4 linked regions of the Ovis aries genome follow. The protein of the gene in region 4 interacts with the protein of the main gene of each other region in a pairwise test. Links are inferred from orthologs where the notes say so. Each region holds a gene or a part of one and is shown on either strand. Other genes may lie near its edges. The genes, in order: PEX16, PEX10, PEX11B and PEX19.

Region 1 (4,642 bases), on a different chromosome or scaffold from region 4:
TAGTTGGAGCATTCTTTGGCATTGCCTTTTCTTTCTTGGAATGAAGACTGACCTTTTCCAGTCCTGTGGCCACTGCTGAGTTTTCCAAATTTGCTGGCATATTGAGTGTAGCACTTTCACAGCATCATCTTTCAGGATTTGAAAGAGCTCAACTGGAATTCCATCACCTCCACTAGCTTTGTTCGTAGTGATGCTTTCTAAGGCCCACTTGACTTTACATTCCAGGATGTCTGGCTCTAGGTGAGTGATCACACCATCGTGATTATCCGGGTCGTGAAGATCTTTTTTGTACAGTTCTGTGTATTCTTGCCACCTCTTCTTAATATCTTCTGCTTCTGTTAGCTCCATACGATTTCTGTCCTTTATTGAGCCCATCTTTGCATGAAATGTTCCCTTGGTATCTCTAATTTCCTTGAAGAGATCTCTAGTCTTTCCCATTCTGTACTATTCTCAGAGTACCATAAACCTGCTGCCCTGGTCCCCAACAGCGCAGCCCCGTGGGCCCCAGCCTTGCCCCGCCCCTTTGCCCACAGCCAATCGGCGGCCGCCTCTTCCGCGCATCCGTTCCCTCCACCTCTGGCCGCTCCTCTCCCGCCGCCACTTCCTTCCAGGGAGGCTACCCTGTTTGGGAAGAGATTCCCTGGAGAAGTTCTCATTTCTTGGGAAGCAGCTGAGAGCTGGAAGATGCACCGGAGGGCCAAAAAGCGCTGTGAAATTGATCCCGAGTTCAAAGAGCCCGTCTGCCCTCTAACCATTTTACAGATGGGGAAACCCGAGGCCCAGAGAAGGGAAAATCCTCGTTAAGGTCACCCCGAGCGGAGAGCAGAAGCCCAGGCCAGGCTTTTCTCCGTGAAGATGGGAGTTCAGGTGCGCGATTTGGCGGGAGGGCGGCGGGAGGGAGGACATGCTCCTTGTGGGAGCCGGGGCACTAACGATGCTGGCCAGGGGGATCTTGACTGCGTGGGAGGCTGGACTTCTCGCTGCCTCAGTTTCCCCAGCACTACCTCTGGGAGAAGTCAGGCGACGAGGCAAGGGGCCAAACGCGCGCCTGCACACAGTCCGATTGTCCTTAGGCTGTCCCCGCGCTCCCCACCCGCCCAAGTCTGATGGAGAAGGCTCCTCTGTGGGCGCTGCCTCCCAAGCCCTTTAAAAGCCAGTCCTCCCGTTCGAGCCTCTCGGCATTCTATTGGGAAGGCTCTTGATCCCTACTCCAGAATTAACTGCTCAGGCTGCCGCGGGAGCTTTTTCCCGGAGCTCTAACTGCGCAGGTGCAAGGCAGCAAACCCGGAAGGCGGAAGAGCCGGTGGGGCCGCCGGGGTCGGGGGCGGAGAGCGTGTGAACCAATGACCTGAAGGAGTTAGGAAGGGCGGGATTAGGCCCGCGGTTACTTAACGCTACCCTGGTGGGAGGTGATTTAAGAAATGGGGTGAAGGGTGCCTCAACTGCCCTTCGCGTCGCCGTCCTTCTGGCCCGCGGAAGTTAAGCAGCAGAGAGGCGGGCCCAGCGCCGGAAGCAGGAAGGAGGGCGCAGGAAGCAGGGCCCCGTAGCCAGTATCGCTGTCGGTCCGTGGGTCTGTCGGTCCCGAGGGCAGGATGGAGAAGCTGCGGCTGGTGGGCCTCCGCTACCAGGAGTACGTGACTCGTCACCCGGCCGCCACGGCCCAGCTGGAGACGGCAGTGCGCGGCCTCAGTTACCTGCTGGCAGGTGCCACCCTGACCTTTGACCCATCCCTTCGGATCTCTGACCTCTGACCCCACCTGCCTCCCCCTCCCTTCCCTGCGGAGCCTGGGTAGTGATCGCTGTGCTTGAGGAGTTCCTTCCAGGTTCCCGTTAGGGCATAGGGAGGGAATGTCCAGGGGCCCGAAGCAGCAGGGAGAGGCAGACTCTCACCGGCGCCTCCTTCTGTGCCTTCTCCCCAGGTCGTTTCGCCGATTCGCACGAGCTGTCAGAGCTGGGTGAGCCGGGCTCTGGGGTGGGTGGGGGGCGAGAGGGTGGGGGAGGGCTTCCTAGATTTCCCGTTAGATCATCCAGTTCTGTGATTGAATCAGACAGGGGTCCAGCGTCCACTGTCCTAGGCCGTCGCGTATGCCCCCTCCCCCGCCATAGTTGAGAGATATGTCTGGGGACCTTGACTGGTCAGGAGGCTGAGCCAAGCGTCCCTTCTGCCTTTGCTCCGTTAATCTTCCCTACAGTCATGTGAAGTGGGTACTGTTATTGTCCTCCTTGTCCAGTTAAGGGAACAGAAGTTTAAGTGAGGTTAAGGAACAGCCACCGAAGGCCTCAACCAGAATTCATGTCCCAATCTCCCAAATTCCAGAATGCCCAGGTTATAACTGCTTCAGTGGTGTTTACCCAGTCAGTACAGGAGAGACAGATCCTGAAAGGATGAGCTGGGTTCTAAAAGGTAGGGATGGAAGAGAATTTCAAGGACAGGCTGCAGAGAGAGCAAAGACCAGGAGGTGACTGCACCTCCCATGTCTCTTCGGAGCATGATGGGCGGTTCTGGGCTGCTGGATAACCAGTGCTATTCAGCAGGACAGTAGCTGGTATGTCATAGAGATCAAACCATCCTTTCTTGTTCTAGCTGCTCACACAAAGGTCGTTGAGGGGAGTGGAGAGCTCTGAGGAAGTGGGTGGCAGGACCTGTTGTTTCCACATATTGTGGGGATGGCTGAGCACAGCAGGGGATAGGTGATCCCTGCTGCTCTAGGGAGAGGGGGAGGGGGTGGAGGCTGCAGAGCCAGCCTCTCAAGGCCACTCTCTGCCCCTCAGTGTACTCTGCCTCTAACCTGCTTGTGCTGCTCAATGACGGAATCCTACGGAAGGAACTTCGGAAAAAATTACCCGTGGTAAGAATTGTGAAGCAGAGGGCTCAGGAACAAAATAGTAACCACCAGCCCGTGTTTGGGGCACGCATTATGGTCTCCTGGAGTACGAGACATGGCTGCATCCACCTGTGCCTGTAGCTGTTGGGCGACAAGTCCAGGCATCAGTGTCCCCTTATCAGGTGAAAAGACTGGGTTTCACAGGGTAGAGTCGCCTGTCCCAGCAGGAGATCTCAGGCTTAAGCACTTAATCTTGGGAAGGGGAGGTGTCCCCTGGGGGAGGAGCTGAAACCAGGGGGACCTCCTGACCTCTTGGCCTGGGGTTCTTGCAGTCCCTGTCCCAGCAGAAGCTGCTGACATGGCTGAGCGTGCTGGAGTGTGTGGAGGTGTTCATGGAGATGGGGGCCACCAAGGTGTGGGGTGAAGTAGGACGTTGGCTCGTCATCGCCCTCATCCAGCTGGCCAAGTATGTCGGGACTGTGGAGGGCCGGCCTGGGGTGGGGGTCACTGAGACCAGCTGTACCGATGGTGTTCAGTAGAGCAGCCTGGACCCCTGCCAGCTAGCCACCTCCCCCTTCCCCAGCCCTGCCGTACTCCCAACCCAGGGCTGTACTTCGGATGTTCCTGCTGATCTGGTTCAAGACTGGCCTCCAGACCTCACCCCCCATCGTTCCGCTGGACAGGGAGACCCAGGCACGGTCCCAGGGTAAGTGCCTACCCACTCTGGAGTGGAATGGGGCACGGGGCTGATTGGTAAATGAGAGCTGACCTACGTACTGTCACCGTGGAGCACACCTCTCCCCATCAACTCATTTTGTCCTCATCGTCTTATACTGGTATTTTACAGAAGAGAAAGAATGATGAAGTCAGAGGCCAGATCAGAGCTTAAACTCAGAGCTTCTGACGTTGGAGTCCTCAGTCTCCATTGTTATGGGCTGCGGGAAGAGGGGACAGAGCATCAGGAGGAAGCAGGGGTCTTGCCAGCCTTGTCTTTGGGCTGGCTCTGTATCAAGAGCACAGCCTCATGAGGCAGGGTACCCAGCAGATGCGCCCCTTCAGGGCTTTGGGCCCATCAGCTGCTGGCCTCTGGTCTTACCCCCTTGACTTTGAGTTGGGGGCAGGTCTTCACTTCTGTTTTCATGGTCATGTTGAAAGCAAAGCTCTCAGAAGATACACCCTTCCCCTCCTTCTTAAAATTTTTTGTTTATTGGCCACGCCACACGGCCTTTGGGATCTTAGTTCACTGACTGCGGGTGGAACCCTCGCCCCCTGCAGTGGAAGCATGGAGTCTTAACCGCTGGGCCACCAGGGAAGTCCAGATATAGCCCCTCTGGCTGTGGTTCCCATGGACCACCGGCCCCCCTGCCTTGTTCCAGTGCCTGGGAGGCCTTAGTTCTTGGCTGGTATATCTGCACAGGTGATACTGGCCTTTCCCCAGGTTGGGGAGGGCTGCAGAATGCTCCCTGCTATGGATAGGTCCCAGGCACAGCCTCTGCTGTGGTGTCTTTGACTCAGCTGCTGTCTTCGTACAGGTTTATCCATTCTCCCCATAGCCCATGAGCGTTCACTGCACCTGCATTCGCTTGTAGGCTCTGCACGTGTCCCTCTGACAGTATGACCTTTTATCTGTTGCTGCTAGATGGTGACCACAGCGCTGGTAGCCAGGAGCAGTCATATGTGGGGAAGCGGTCAAACCGGGTGGTGCGAACCCTCCAGAACAGTAAGTGTGGGAGGTTGCTGGATGAGACAGCTCGGTGCTTAGGTCAGCGTGGGCCTGAGGGCCTGGCTTTCGTCAGTGCCTGCCTGCCCCCGCCCCA
Region 2 (4,827 bases), on a different chromosome or scaffold from region 4:
AGAGCTGCAGGCCCACAGCCAGCGCCAGGTGCAGCAGGGACACCAGCCCCAGCAGCTGGTAGCTGGCGCGAACGCGAGGGTCCTCTGCGAGTGGGCGGCGGACACGGAGCTGTCAGGGACCCAGGGGATAGTCACATGGTCAGAGGGCGTGAGGCACTGAGCAGCCCAAGGGCCTGGCCTTCAGGTGGGATTAAGCCAAGCCTGCCTCTGGCTGCGGGAGCGGGCAGGAGTGCCTGGTGGGCCCAGCACTGAGCAACGAGGATGGCGATGGGAGCCTGCAGGTCACTGGTTGCAAGCAAGGCATCGTAGGAAGGGGACTGCTAGGCACTCAAGCCTCACAGAAAAGGAACCAGCAAAGAGGCCTGAGCGGGGGAGCCCTGCGGACGGCAGGCGAGCCCTGCATGGCAGATCCACTACTCATCCCCATTCGGAAACAGAAGCTCCTGCTTGTATCAAGGCCCTGGGCTGCCCAGGTGACTCTCTGCAGGCTGGGACTCCCAGCCACATCCTCCAATGGAAAGCTGCTTGCCCTCCACTGCTGTCTCCTTTCCTAGCTGGGAGCAGGGACTGTCAGGTTAGCCAGACCAGCCGGAGCCCAAGAGGTGGGGCCCTGGTGTCTGCGGAGCAAGAGACCCCGTGGCTGCCCCGAGGCCCTGAGTGGGTTGCAGCAGCTCGACAGACACCTGACACAACGGGTAGTGCGGGTGCAGTGAGCACTGGAGCTGGGAGGAGGAGGCGCAGAGGCGCTGGACACCCCTGCCAAGGGAGGCCAGGGGGTGGGGGAGAGCCTGGAGACCTTGGGGAGGTGGGGCCCAAGGGGAGGCCTTCTGGATGAACTCTGAAGCCAGGGCATCAGCTGAGACCCAGCAGGGTTGGAGTCCCTGTGATGGGCGGAGACCACCAGGTCTAGAGAGACCATCAGACCTCCCCAGGTGGGAGGCTAGCAGGGATGCTGGTGGCAACAGGGTCCATGTGGTTGTTATTGGGTCATCCTCAGGGGGATGGCCCCAAACCTGACCCTCTGTAAGGATGGCCTGGATGGGGTGGGCATAGGGCCCAGGAGCCCGGGTATACAGCAACGTGGCCACAGGTGCTGGCAGTGGAAAAAAGGCTCACCCCACCCTCATCAGGGTATTTGGAAACCAAACTTCCTCCGGTCTTTTAGTAAAACAGGACCCGACAAGACCCATGCTTCCAGTGGGGATTTCAGCTCCGGCCCTGTGACTGCTTGTGGGCATAGTCCCCGAAGAACAGCCTCCACAGACAAGCCAGACCTGTTACTTACGTAGGTGATGCCCGTGAACCTCTTGGCCAGGTGGTAGAAGACACCGTGGATGTAGAACCAGGCCACGTGGAGACGCTGGAGGCACCCGAGGCCCTGCCTGAGCACTGACATGGCCCGCAGGAGCACCCCCTGCTGCTGTTCTGTCAGGCCGGCCATGCGCCGGTGCACCCAGCGCCTCACCCCTGACTGGCTGCTGGGGGCCAGGCTGCCCCGCAAGGGCCAAGCGCTGTCGCCGGCAGCCTGCAGCTCGTGCTCCAGGTGGAGCAGGGCCTTATCCAGCAGGTAGGGCAGGACGGTGTGCAGCGCAACCAGGACCCCGCGTCGCAGCTTTGAGGGCACGTGGCGCTGTGATGGGCCCACCTGCACGATGCTGACGTATTCCTCCCCAAGGGTCTGGTAGCCTGCAGGGAGAGGGGCCTCAGTGATCTCTACCGGGCCCCCACCTCCCCTCCGAAGGATGATCCTCACAGCCCACACCCTGTGGCAGGGCACAGTGCTGGGACCCCTCGGGCCACAGGTTCAGCTGCAGAGAAACAGTCCTAGACAGATGTGACAGGGAACCTCAGGGCTTCCAGAGGCCTGGCCTGGACTCAGGGCCTGGGCCCCACCTAGGGAGGGGTCTGGGTCCCTTCCTTCATAGAGGCTGCATGCGGGCCAGTTGAGGGACACTGTGAAGCACCTCCAGAAAGCTCCCTCTGCAGGCAGTCCTTTCCTGTCCTCAGGGCCCCTCGGGAGGTTGCACTGTGGCCGCTACCTGCTAGTGTGGTGAGGCTGAAGTAGGCGAGATCTGACACCAGCTCTACCTCTCTCCTCCACTCCAGCCACTTCTTCGCACCTGAGAGGAGAAACTGTATGCGTTATTCCTGAGGGGCTGGGGGCCGTGGGGCATGAGGGTCAGAACAATCCTCGCTCCTGCTGCCCAGGCTCAGCGAGCCCCTGACTCGCTCCCCACACTCTGCTCGCGCTCCCTGGACTCTCACGCTGTTCACTCTTTCCATTGACACCTGCCTCGCCTGGGCCCTGAGTGTCCTGAGAACCTACCCACCTGCAGCCATGCCCCCTCCAGGATCCACCTAGGCAACTGCTCTAGAACCTAGAGAACCACAAGGACAGGCAGTGTAACACAGTGACCGGGAGCTCAAGCCAAGACCACTGACCAGCATCAAACCGGAGCTCCCACACTGCTGGCTGTGAGCTCAGGTGAGTTATATCTCTGTGATCCCCATTTTTCTGTCTCTGAGGAGGGTAATGGCAACAGGTCCTCCAGGCAGGCATGTGTTAACAAAACGAGTTAATGTTCTGAAGCACGGAGAGCAGTGTCTGGCATGGAGTAAGTGAACCTGTTAGCAAAATTAATACACGGGCCATTTGTTTTGATCCTGTCGTGTTCCTCTCTTGCCCAAGGCCGGCCCATGGCCACCCGACCCCAGTGTACAGTCCAGCTTCCCTTCAGCTGCTCCGAAGGAGCCCGCTGTCGGCTGGAATCTACCCCACCCTCTTGCCCCTACACTGTACTCCAACGACCCTGCTCCACGGTAGCCTCGTGTCAGCAGAGCCGTGAATTCTTCTGCGCCTGGTGCCTGGCCTCCGCCCTCGCCCTCTGCAGCAGGGGTCAAAGACCGGAGCATCCGCTCCTTCCTTCAGCTCAGGTCTCGCGGGGCGCGCAGGGTTAGGCCGAGCCTGCAGAGGGCTGACCGGCGGGCCTGGGGCTCGTTTTCCCGCCTCGCGCCCCCACGGCCCGTACGGCCCCCAAGACCCCTGCAGCGGCCCTCACCTGCCAGGTTGTGCAGGGCGCCGCCCGCCGCGCTCCGCAGCCCGCCGCGGTAGTAGTCGTCCTTCTGCGCCGCGCGGACCACCTCCGGCGGGCTGGCGGCCGCGGAAGCCATGGTCAAGGGTCGCAGGGCCGCGGGGATCTTGGGGACCGGGGTACAGGGAGGCGACGGAGGCACCCAGATAGCCACGCCCACGAGGCGGCGCCAGATGACAACTGGGCTCGGCGTGCGGCGCAGACCTTGCGCGTCACTGAGGGCGGGGCCTGGGGCGGGGCGGGGTTGACAGCGGCGCGGTCCGAGCGGCGCGAACCTGGCCCAGGGTGCGGACGCAGGGCTGGAGGGGGCGGGTGAAGGGGGCGGGTGAAGGGGGCGGGTGGAGGGGGCGGGTGAAGGGGGCGGGTGAGCCGGGGACTGGTGAGCGGCACAGTGTGGGAAGTGACCGCGGGGACGGCCCCCAGAAACTGGGAGAGGAGTCAGAGCCACAGCAGGTGCTGACTCCCCTTGGTGGGGCACTTGGCCGCCCCCGGGGCCGGAAGTAAGGTGGGCTGTGGTCTCCCCGCTCCCTGCAGTTCTCTCTGAGGGGCGCTGGCGCCCCTGAGTTCTAATACTTGCGACCCGCCTGTGGGCCCAGGAAAGGAGCTCTGGGGCCCGGGAGAGGGCAGGGAGCGCGGATTCTTGAACCTCGGTGTTTATACTAGCGGCTGACCCACACGTGCAGACCCCCGACTCCTCTCAGCTTCTCTCAGAGCAGGGACCAAAGAGGGCCGCAGGGGTGAGGGGTGGGGGGTGGGGAGACTGGGAGGCCACGCACCAGAGGGGATCCCGATGCCCAGGCACAGGCTACAGCTGGACTTGAGCTGCAGTTCAGGGCCCAGTGAGGGGCCTGGGGAGAGGGCAGTGAGAGGAGGCAGTTGGGGTGTCCTAAGGGCTCTGGGTCTGGAGCAGGTTGTGTGTGTGTGTGTGCTTGCTCAGTCTGTCCAACTCTTTGCCACCCCATGGACTGTCACCCGCCAGGCTCCTCTGTCCATGGAATACTCCAGACAAGAATGCTGGAGTGGGTTGCCATTTCCTCCTCCAGGGGATCTTCGCCACTGAGGGATCAAACCAGTCTCCTGTGTCTCCTGCATTAGCAGGCAGATTCTTTACCACTGAGTCACTTGAGAAGTGAGCAGGCCATCAGTTCAATGACTCGGTTGTGTCCGACTCTTTTTGTCCCCATGGACTGCAGCATCAAAGTGTCTGTATGTGTGCCTCAGTTGTATGTGTGCCTCAGTGGAGGGGGTTGTAGGGACGCGCCACAAGGACCAGAGGGCCTTGTCCTTTCGGACCTAAGGGGTAGGAGAGAAAGGAGGCATGTGACCCGAGGGGGTAGGGGAACCACCAGGGCCCTGACTTTGGCTGGGAGGGTGTGGGCTGAGATGGGTTGCAGCTCCTGCCTCACTTTTGCTCCCACATGAATGTTGGTATGTGCCCAGGCAGCACAGCTCAGCTGCACGGAGCCAGCCTGGGGACAGACTCAGGTCTCGTCGGGCTCCACCAGGTGCAGGCAGGCCCCACCTAGAGGGAGGAGACAGGACCTGGGTGGTCCCACAGTCCCTCCTGCTACTGAAGCCCCAGTGACCCTTGGAGTGGTGCCCTTGTCTGTGTACCCTGGTCACAGAGGCCACCCACTGCTTTGGTTTGTAGTCTGGGGTGGACCCTCAGGCAGAGGCCAGGTGGAGACACAAGCCTCACTAGTTTCTGGCCAACTCTCGTCAGACAGGCTGGCCC
Region 3 (4,590 bases), about 12 Mb from region 4:
TCTGAGCTTAAATGTCACCCCTTCAGGAAGGTCTTCTCTGACCGCCCATTCTAAAGTAGCAAGCCATTTACCATCTTATCACTTGACCCTACTTTAATTTCCTGCACAGCATTTACCACTCTCTGACGTTTTTCTTATTTACTGTGTCTTTGTCCCTTCCCATTACAATGTAAGCTCCATAGGAGCAAGGCTCTTGTTTGTCTTTACCACTGCATCTTTGTGTCTAGACTTACGCCTAGCACATAGTAAGAGCTGAAGAAATATTTATGGAATGAAAGAGTAGACACGGCATAGAAACTCTTCTAGAGAGTTGCTTTTTCACACCATTCTATCCATGCCTCTGCCCCCATCCTTCATATACCATAAGCCTTGTTATAATTGTAAATCACTGAGAAAGATGAAAAGCAAGACATAAGCAGAGATGGAAAGAAGCAATATAATGTAAAATAACAAAGCAAATCATAGGGAAGCAAAAAACAAATATAGGTGATATATAGACAGAAAATTTTATTCTCAAATCATATTCCTTTCCACCTTCACTACCAGCCTGCTCTTTAATCCAAGCCAACATCATTTCATGGTCACATTAAAGAATCTTCTCCTCTTTAGTTCTACTGCAATCCATTTTCCACAGTACAGAAAGACAGATCTTCTAAATGCAGTTTGAATCATGTCACATCCCTGCTCAGAACCACTGGACTTAGGATAAAATTTAAACAAAACTAAATGAAAAAAATCCTACCATCACCTAGACGACCTTGCATGAATGATCTGGCCCTGGTCTACCTCTCCAGTTTGAACTTGTGCCCTTCCTCAGTACTGTCAACCACACTGGCTTTCTTTCCACCGCTCTAATTCTAAGAAGTCTTTCTTGCCTCAAAGCCTTAGAATAAGTCATTTGCTGTTTCTTCTTTATACTGCTTGCTTTGTATAACTTCTACTCAGACTTCAGGTCTGAAATAAAAGTTCATTTTCTCAAAGGGTTCTCTTTTCCCTGACCTTTATATCTATATTAGCACCCCCGTTATAAAGCTCTAATATCCTACGTATGTGCTAAGTCGCTTCAGTTGTGTCCGACTCTGACCCTATGGACTGTATCTCGCCAGGCTCCTCTGTCTATGGAATCCTCCAGGCAAGAATACTGGAGTGGGTTGCCATGCCCTCCTCCAGGGGCTAACATCCTATACTTTCCCACAAATATTTGGTTTGGTGATTATTTGTTTTAATATCAGACTCCCCTACTAAACTAGAAGCTTCATGAGAGCAGGAACCATATCTACTTAGCTCTTTGCTTTATTCCCTGGCTCACAGTAAGCAGCTACTAAGTATTTTTAGAATGAATGAATGTGTAGACAATGAGGGGCATAAATCTGTGGTATAGACAGAAGAAGAATTAAAGCAATATAATTAATATCTAGTCTTGTCCAATCTTAGTCATTCGCCATGAAAGAGCATCCCTCTTCCATCTGCCCCCATTCATTATTCTCTGATGGTATAAGATCTAAATGAAGATCTGAAGCCAAGTGATTCAGACGTGTATATTCTGGGAAGACCTTAAAAGATTGTTCTCTCATGAAAGGCAAGGTAGGCAGTATGAAGAATAGATAGACCTTGTAGGATAAAAGAATATCAAACCTGAAAGAACGCTGGGCCCACTTCTCCTGATCCACACGGGGAGCGAGTCCAGACTTCCCAGCCCACAGGACATTGTCACAGGCGAAGTACAAGGCTCTATTGAGATGACTAACAGTGATGCAGAATCTCAGGACAACATCTGATAGGTGCACAGCTCGTTTGGCTGACTCAAGGGCATCTGCTGAGTTACCAAGGCGTAGAACTTGTGGAGATTAGCAACGGAAAGCAAGGATTTGAAAGTAGAAAGGCAGACACAGAACAAGATACAGAGAAAGAGGGAAAGCAAGAGAATGAAAGTCAGGCAAGTGATAGAAACAATAATAAACAACTTTTTAAAAAACAGCAGAAAGTTTAATCTTTTTTAGTTCAAATTTTTTATTAATTTGTGTCCCAGTTTAGCTTTCTCAAATCTGCCTCATTCTCTCCAATCCCTCACTGACCTTATCCCTGCTGTCTTATCTCAGCTGGGAGGCCTGCACAGGATAAGTACAGAGGCAAACCACGATGCATTGGCACTGGTCAAAAATAGGAAGGAGGGACTAAGGAATAATGGCTGGGGATGGAAGAAGTATTGGACTAATAAAAGGAAAGGCCTAGTTACTTACGCTTTCTTCCTAGGCTCAGATGACCTTCCAGTTGTCGAATCTGTTTCTGTAACTCAGGACTGGCCCCATGTTTCTGCAGTGCATGGCCAAGAAGAGAGCAAGCATATTGGGCAGCCCTGGAGGAGAGAGAGGTAAGGTAGAGACCTCCTTTATCTCCCCCTCAAAAATGTCCTCCAAAAGGCAACCATGGATCACCCCCTTCCCAGTTTGAGACCGTTCCCTTTCCTCCTCTTCAGGCCTATATCTTAGTTTCTCCCCCAGGCCAAGGGAAGAGAAAGGCATTGAGGATACAACAGAGCCTAGTAGGGGCTGGGGAACACTACTTCGAATTGAGGAAATGAGATTTAACAATGATGCAGCCTGAAGAGGAGAGTGAAGAAGGCAGGAGGACCATCGCAAGACCACAAGCACCTCAGTGAGTGTGCAATGTCCTGTGAAGGGCCGGGAGATGGCTGGAGAACAGGTTAGTCTTCAAAATAGGTGAACTAAGAGATCTTCAAGGCCCTTGAGATGAATGAAGACTAGAAGGCAGGGCGGAGGTGGAGGGCGGAGGGTAAAGGGGATAACAGGAACTCAGGAGTGCCTCCTTAGCTCTGAGGACACAGTCCAGATCTCTATCTGTCACGGGGAGAACGCTCCTCGTCCCACCGTCGCCCAGGGAGGAAAGTATTGGTCTTTTGTGAACACACAACCCTGAGCCGCCTGCCCGCTGGCCCACTCGTGCCTCAGTTTCCCCATCTTTCTCACGAGCAGGAACGAATCAAGGCCTCGCGGCCGGCTCAAATCAGCCCCTCGCGGTCCGTCCGGGCCCCCGTAGCCCGAGTTGACCCTTTTTGACCCCCGTAGTGTGAACTGACCTCGCCTCACGAGGCTCTTCCTCTGCCCGCCCGCCCGTCCCCCTTTCCTATTCGGGCCGCACCTACACAGTCGCTCCCGGGCCTGGCTCTGGGCGCTGAAGCGGACCCAGGCGTCCATGACAGCGGCGGCACCCGTTCTGCAGCTCCGCTCCCGCCTCGCTTCCCGCCCCTAGTCACGCCTCCCGAACGACCCAACGGTGCCGCACGAGGGACAAACATCATCAGAAACTGAAGCGAGTGGAACCGGCCCCTGAAACGGAATTTCAGAACGAGAAGCACTTGTCTCTGGGCCTACATCTGTATGGTTTGTGTGTTTGGCAGGGGGGATTGGGGGAGGTGGAGGGGTGTGTGTCTGTGTGCGTGGTCTCCGTCGTCTCGTTCTCTAATCACAAGATCTCTATTTCATGAGCAAGCCTCCAGAGGCACAGTCTTCTTTAAATATTCTGGACCAAGGGCGAGGCTTGCAGGAGTCGGGGCGGAGCGAGAAGGCGCCGCAGTGCTCTCTCCAGGACCACTAGGATGGGGTTGCCCCTGACCCAGGGGTGCTTACAGCGGAACACTCGCCACACACACACACACACACACACACACACACACACACACACACTCACTCTCACGCTTCTATCGAATTCAGGGCTCCAGGGGGCTAAAGGAGTCTGCGGAAGTAGAAACCAGCACCAGATTCCTAGTCCCTACAAGCCCCTGACAGTTGGACAGGTGACCTCCAGATTACAGACGGAGTCTCCAGAGATAGAGGCTTTAGTGGACGAAATTCGCAAAATAACCATCTCAGATCCTAAGGAGGAAGAAGAAACTGGACGCAGCTCACCTCTTCAGACCCACACTTCATCGCCCCGCCCCTTTTCTTTCCAGGTCACAATGTCTGCAGGCAACGTCACCCCTTGGGGGTCATCAGCGGCGGGGGAGGAGGTCTGGGTAGGATCAGGAGTAGAGGTGGAGGGCGCAGAGCTGCCCACCTTCTCAGTTGCCGCCAAGGTGCGAGTGGGAGTGACTGTCGTGCTGTTTGTTTCTTCGGCTGGAGGGAACCTGGCCGTGGTGTGGTCAGGGACACGGCCGCAACCCAGCCAGCTCCGTCCCTCTCCGGTACGACTGTTCGCCCATTTAGCAGTTGCCGACTTACTGGTCACTTTTGTGGTTATGCCCCAAGTTGCGACCTGGAATATCACTGTTCAATGGCTGGCCGGGGACTTTGCATGTCGTACACTCACGTTCCTGAAACTAGTAGCCATGTAGGCCGCAGCTTTCCTGCCTGTAATTATTGGGCTCGACCACCAAGCAGCCGTACTCCACCCGTTTGGACTGCGCTCAGCTGGTAGGAAACTTCTTGGGGTAGCCTGGGGACTCAGCTTCCTGCTCACCTTGCCCCAGGTGAGTGACTTGGGACTCAGGGTTAGACTGGACAAGAATTTGAGTACATAACATGAGCCTTCGGATTCAAGGGGTGTGCTTGGCCATAGTCAACATTAATCCTC
Region 4 (4,704 bases):
ACCAACTTTTCAGGTGGGAAAGAACTATTTAAACATGCCTGTAGCAAAATAAGCAAGAACAGACTTGAGATGACACCCAAGAGAGTCTGTCTTTTGAGGCTCTGCCGGTGAAATCTCTGTGAGTGGGACCCATGTGGTTCCCCATCTTCCCTCTCACCTGAAGGTCAGTGGCATTCTTGGCTAGTCCACTTAACGTCTCCTTTAGGCAAGAGGTGAATTCTTGTTGGGAAGTCGCATCACTGCCTGGGAGAGATGAAAAGAGCCTAGGTCATTTAGGATTTTAACTGCTTGCTTAAGACTGACCTGGTTACCAGCTTGGACATGGAGCATTTACTAGTGAATTGCTACACTCCAAATCTTTGAATACGTTTATCTTCATAGTTATTTTCATAAATCTACATGGACTGTGTCTCAGTTTGTTCTCTACAATGACACCCACATTAACACTGATCTTTAAAATTATCACTTTTCAAAATAAATAAATAAAAATGAAATTATCACTTTTCAATAATCTTTTCTGTTACTTTCCAACCTATCTCACCCCTTTCATTAAACAGGGTCTCCTTTTTCCTTCCATCTCCTCCCCCATCCCATGGCAGTGGTATCATAATTACTGTCAACTTTTACAAAAAATTTTGGTGTTGTCAAGGGACAATAACCCAAGAGGTTTGTTCAGATATTTCGCACTGTTTCTCTTCCTTACCTACTCTCCCAGCAGCCTCTGAAAGCTTTTGGAACTGCTCTACCAGGTGGGGCTCTTCCTCAGCCAACTCTTTCATTGCTTTCTCAAACTCTGCAGTGGCTTGGGAAGCCAGCTCACTGTCAAACAGTTCCTGGAAAAACTTCTCCTGGGAGGCGAAGAGGGCATCCTGCAGGGGAGAATGTGGCCAAAGCGCATCTCTTACTTGGCACCCCAGTGTACATGGTTTCTGACAGAAGCCACAGGCAGTGGCGCTGGGAGGTGCAGTGCTTCCCTCCTACCCACCTCCATTGGGCATTCTGACTACTTCCCTTCATGAGAACAGCAAAAAGGCCATCTGGCCACTAAGGGAAGGCTATGGGCTGGTATTCCCAATCCAACCATTTAAATCTGTTCTTTTCTTAAGGAACTTCCTTGAGATCCCTGTACTCAATCTCAAGTCCCTGTTTCACAAGGACTGAGGCCTGCAAGAGCACTCACCAATGTGAGGCCAAGGCACCCTCCCCGACTCCCCTCTGGCCCACAAAGGCCTGCCCCACCTCTGCTTGGAGCTGCACGCCCACACCCTCCCCATCCCTTAAGTGGGTGGAATTTATACTTTGGCAGTGTCTCCTGGCGATCTCTTCTGGGGCCCTGAAGCATCAGGGGCCGTGGTGGTAGGAGGGGGTGCTGGGGAGGGTTTGGCCTTATCGAAATCATCAAGAGCACCTTCAGAGACAAGAGACACAGTGTATGTGTTGGTGATGGATGAGAATGCAAGGCTAGAGGGGTTTCTGAGCAAAGCATTAAGAAAACAATCTTTCAAGCTGCCAACCTTCCTAAAATGCTCTCCTTTTTTTTGAGTCTCCCTCTCCTGACCCACTCCTCAATAAGCTTCTCCCTCCCCCTCCCCATTACCTAACATACTGTAATCACAGGGGAAGAAGTCTCTTAAGGTGTAAAAAAACATCTCTCAAAGCTGTAAGAGGACAGTTCATCTACACAATGCCTCTTTGCCATACTTTAATGGTTCCTAGAAATCCCATACAGATATTCAAGAGAAACAGAGAACACAGATGTCCTTAACCCCCCTAGAACTCACTCTGGAGCCCTACAAGGAATAATCTTTGGCAAGAGAGCAGAAGCCTTAAGATGTTTCACCCAGCTTCCCATGGGTCCTGGTACAAACTGAGGGACTCCATATTATACTCCACGGGAGGGCCCTGAACTCTCTTTTCTCTTTCAATTTAGGTCTCCCTCCCCAGAGTTGCTAGAGCTCCCTGTGGTCTCATCTCTGCAGACTCACACAGTCACTTAGCACTTCTCACCATTTCTGTTCACCTTTCCGCCTGCCCACTCTGTGACTGAGCAAGAGACAATAAATATTCACCTCGACCCTGAAAAGCCTGTGTTCTCACCACCACTATATTTGCCAGGCCTAGGGGGAAAGACACCAGCCCCACTCTGGACAAGAAACCAAACCAGACAGGAGTGGATGGCAGGGCTGAGGAGGAAAAGTACAGCCACCTTCTTTCCAGAGTGAACTGTCTTCCCCTGAGGCTGTCTCATCCTGTTTTTCAAACTAATGGGAAGGGTTTGAGCTCTGACATGATGAAAGAACTGGAAAGGGGCCTGGTGGATGAAAGGACTGGGAGAAAAAAAGGAGTGTCTTTTCTGTTAAGGAGGGCAGGACAGTTAACAGAAGAACGCACTACAGGCTTCCTAATAGTTAATGGAAGCAATTCGTGGTTGTTCGGTTCGCTGCCCCCTGAGGACCAAATGCTGCTGCTGGTGGGGAGAAAGTCAGACTTCAGAACTTACTAAAGTAAGGGGAGTTTGGAGAGGGAGCGTGAAACGTCCTCTGGGTTAGCTTCCCCTCCGGCAGGGCGATCAACAGTGTGGGCCGTTCAGGGACCCAGAGAGAACTCCTCAACTACCGCTGCAGAGGAAGGAGAGGGTGACCCAGAGATTTTCTCGAGGGTCGCAGTCAGACTCTCCGCCCCCGTCCAGCCTTTGGAGAGCCTTTCTTACTCCGCCCCAAACATCGCAGGTTTACTTAACCCCCTGAATGGATCCTTACATCCGCCCTCTTTGGGGCTTTCCCATGACGGGCTCTTACTTTCCAGAAGCTCTTCCAATTCCCGGTCGGCTTCGGCCCGGACACCACCGTCCCCCTCAGCCGCGGCCATCTTGCCACCTCTGACTTGCCGTAGGAGGTGGGACTCCGAGGCTCCGCGCCCCGCCCCTGTGCCCGCCCCCTCTGCTCGCGCAACCAATGGTATTGTTGGTCCGTGCCGGGCCGCCATTTTTAAAGGGACAGGATGCTCCGATTCCCGCCCCCGCCACCCCTCTTCTTTCTACTGGCACGCTGACCTAACAGAGGTGAGTTTGCTCTTACCTTCTGCCAGGTTTTTTTTTGTTTTTGTTTTTACTGGCCTGGCTTCCTTTCTTTCAACTTCCCACATTACCTGGCTTTCTTATTATTTTTTTCCAGAGCTGTGGGTATGCCAAATTGGCACAAACTGCCCACGAGCCACCAGAAGCTCTGCGTTTGTAATCAATAAGGAAGTTACGGTATACCCAACATGGTAGTTTTCTCTCACTTCAGTATTTTACTCATATGTCATCTTCTCTGAAATGCCTTCTTTGGCCTCACTAAATAAAACTGCAACCCTTCCCACACACATACATATACAAATCCTGCCCACTTTCCCTCCATTTCTCTCAAAACTTACCTCTATGTGACATACTATACGTTTTACTTATTTATCGTTTTTATCTCCCGTTAAGCCCTTTGCAGTTTAAGCACGATGATGGCAAGGATTTTCATCCGTCATCTTCACTGCTGCATCCCTAGCTCCTGGGCTGGGGATTAAAATTTGGGCATTCATTGTCTACTCTTTGCTCTCTCAGATCCTAAAGAGGCATGTTTCTCTGCAGAATCTACTGGCTATCTCACATTTCCTGTACCCCATTAAAACTATCACAGGGCCAAGAACTTAGAACTCGATATTAGTCTAATCAAATCGGGTAGAAAAGCGACTCTTGGACTTTGGATTAAGCAAAAAGGTACTGTAGAGTTCCTTCCCTGAACAGAAAAACATCTACTTGTGCTTTATTGACTACGCCAAAGCCTTTGACTCTGGTTCACAACAAACTGTGGAAAATTCTTCAAGAGATGGGAATACCAGACCACCTGACCTGTCTCCTGAGAAATCTGTATGCAGGTCAAGAAGCAACAGTTAGAACAGGACATGGAACAACAGAGTGGTTCCCAATAGGGAAGGGAATCCACCAAGACTGTATATTGTCATCCTGCTTATTTAACTTATATGCAAAATACATCATGAGAAACACTGGGCTGGATGAAACAGGAGCTGGAAACAAGATTGCTGGGAGAAATATCAATAACCTCAGGCATGCAGATGACACCACCCTTATGGCAGAAAGTGAAGAAGAACTAAAGAGCCTCTTTCACTTTCTTTTTTTCTTTCACTTTCTTGATGAAAGTGAAACAGGAGAGTGAAAAAGTTGGCTTAAAACTCAGTATTCAGAAAACTAAGATAATGCATCTGGTCCCATCTGCTGCTGCTGCTGCTAAGTCGCTTCAGTCCTGTCTGACTCTGTGCGACCCCATAGACGGCAGCCCATCAGGCTCCCCTGTCCCTGGGATTCTCCAGGCAAGAACACTGGAGTGGGTTGCCATTTCCTTCTCCAATGCGTGAAAGTGAAGAGTGAAAGTGAAGTCGCTCAGTCGTGTGCGACTCTTAGTGACCCCATGGATTGCAGCCTACCAGGCTCCTCCATCCATAGGATTTTCCAGGCAAGAGTACTGGTCCCATCACTTCATGGCAAATAGATGGGAAACAAGGGAAACAGTGAGAGAATTTATTTTCTTGGGCTCCAGGATCACTGCAGACAGTGACTGTAGCCGTCTGCAATCGGCTTGCTCATTCGAAGAGGACACTTGCTCCTTGGAAGAGAAGCTATGACCAACCTAGACAGCATATTAAAAAGCAGAGATA

The links.
Region 1: the proteins of PEX19 (region 4) and PEX16 interact in binary tests that used the Homo sapiens proteins (3 or more experiments, as listed by UniProt). The link is inferred for Ovis aries from reciprocal best matches to the Homo sapiens genes PEX19 and PEX16.
Region 2: the proteins of PEX19 (region 4) and PEX10 interact in a two-hybrid assay, tested with the Homo sapiens proteins (4 studies listed by BioGRID and IntAct, with this or other methods). The link is inferred for Ovis aries from reciprocal best matches to the Homo sapiens genes PEX19 and PEX10.
Region 3: the proteins of PEX19 (region 4) and PEX11B interact in binary tests that used the Homo sapiens proteins (3 or more experiments, as listed by UniProt). The link is inferred for Ovis aries from reciprocal best matches to the Homo sapiens genes PEX19 and PEX11B.

The regions. Positions count from the first base shown.
Region 1 is NC_056068.1:74,872,033-74,876,674, reverse strand, and holds the start of PEX16 (peroxisomal biogenesis factor 16), read left to right. Parts: upstream 1-1,526; 5' UTR 1,527-1,592; coding exon 1,593-1,704; intron 1,705-1,919; coding exon 1,920-1,955; intron 1,956-2,772; coding exon 2,773-2,849; intron 2,850-3,157; coding exon 3,158-3,291; intron 3,292-3,430; coding exon 3,431-3,531; intron 3,532-4,464; coding exon 4,465-4,545; intron 4,546-4,642. UniProt on the Homo sapiens protein: Required for peroxisome membrane biogenesis. May play a role in early stages of peroxisome assembly. Can recruit other peroxisomal proteins, such as PEX3 and PMP34, to de novo peroxisomes derived from the endoplasmic reticulum (ER).
Region 2 is NC_056065.1:49,745,386-49,750,212, reverse strand, and holds the start of PEX10 (peroxisome biogenesis factor 10), read right to left. Parts: upstream 3,241-4,827; 5' UTR 3,172-3,240; coding exon of another isoform or gene 3,060-3,171; intron 2,626-3,059; 5' UTR 2,561-2,625; coding exon 2,443-2,560; intron 2,121-2,442; coding exon 2,040-2,120; intron 1,687-2,039; coding exon 1,286-1,686; intron 110-1,285; coding exon 1-109.
Region 3 is NC_056054.1:99,243,764-99,248,353, forward strand, and holds the start of PEX11B (peroxisomal membrane protein 11B), read right to left. Parts: upstream 3,243-4,590; 5' UTR 3,216-3,242; coding exon 3,160-3,215; intron 2,357-3,159; coding exon 2,241-2,356; intron 1,838-2,240; coding exon 1,636-1,837; intron 1-1,635. UniProt on the Homo sapiens protein: Involved in peroxisomal proliferation. May regulate peroxisome division by recruiting the dynamin-related GTPase DNM1L to the peroxisomal membrane. Promotes membrane protrusion and elongation on the peroxisomal surface.
Region 4 is NC_056054.1:111,303,891-111,308,594, forward strand, and holds the start of PEX19 (peroxisomal biogenesis factor 19), read right to left. Parts: upstream 2,881-4,704; 5' UTR 2,869-2,880; coding exon 2,799-2,868; intron 1,409-2,798; coding exon 1,299-1,408; intron 870-1,298; coding exon 704-869; intron 244-703; coding exon 158-243; intron 1-157. UniProt on the Homo sapiens protein: Necessary for early peroxisomal biogenesis. Acts both as a cytosolic chaperone and as an import receptor for peroxisomal membrane proteins (PMPs).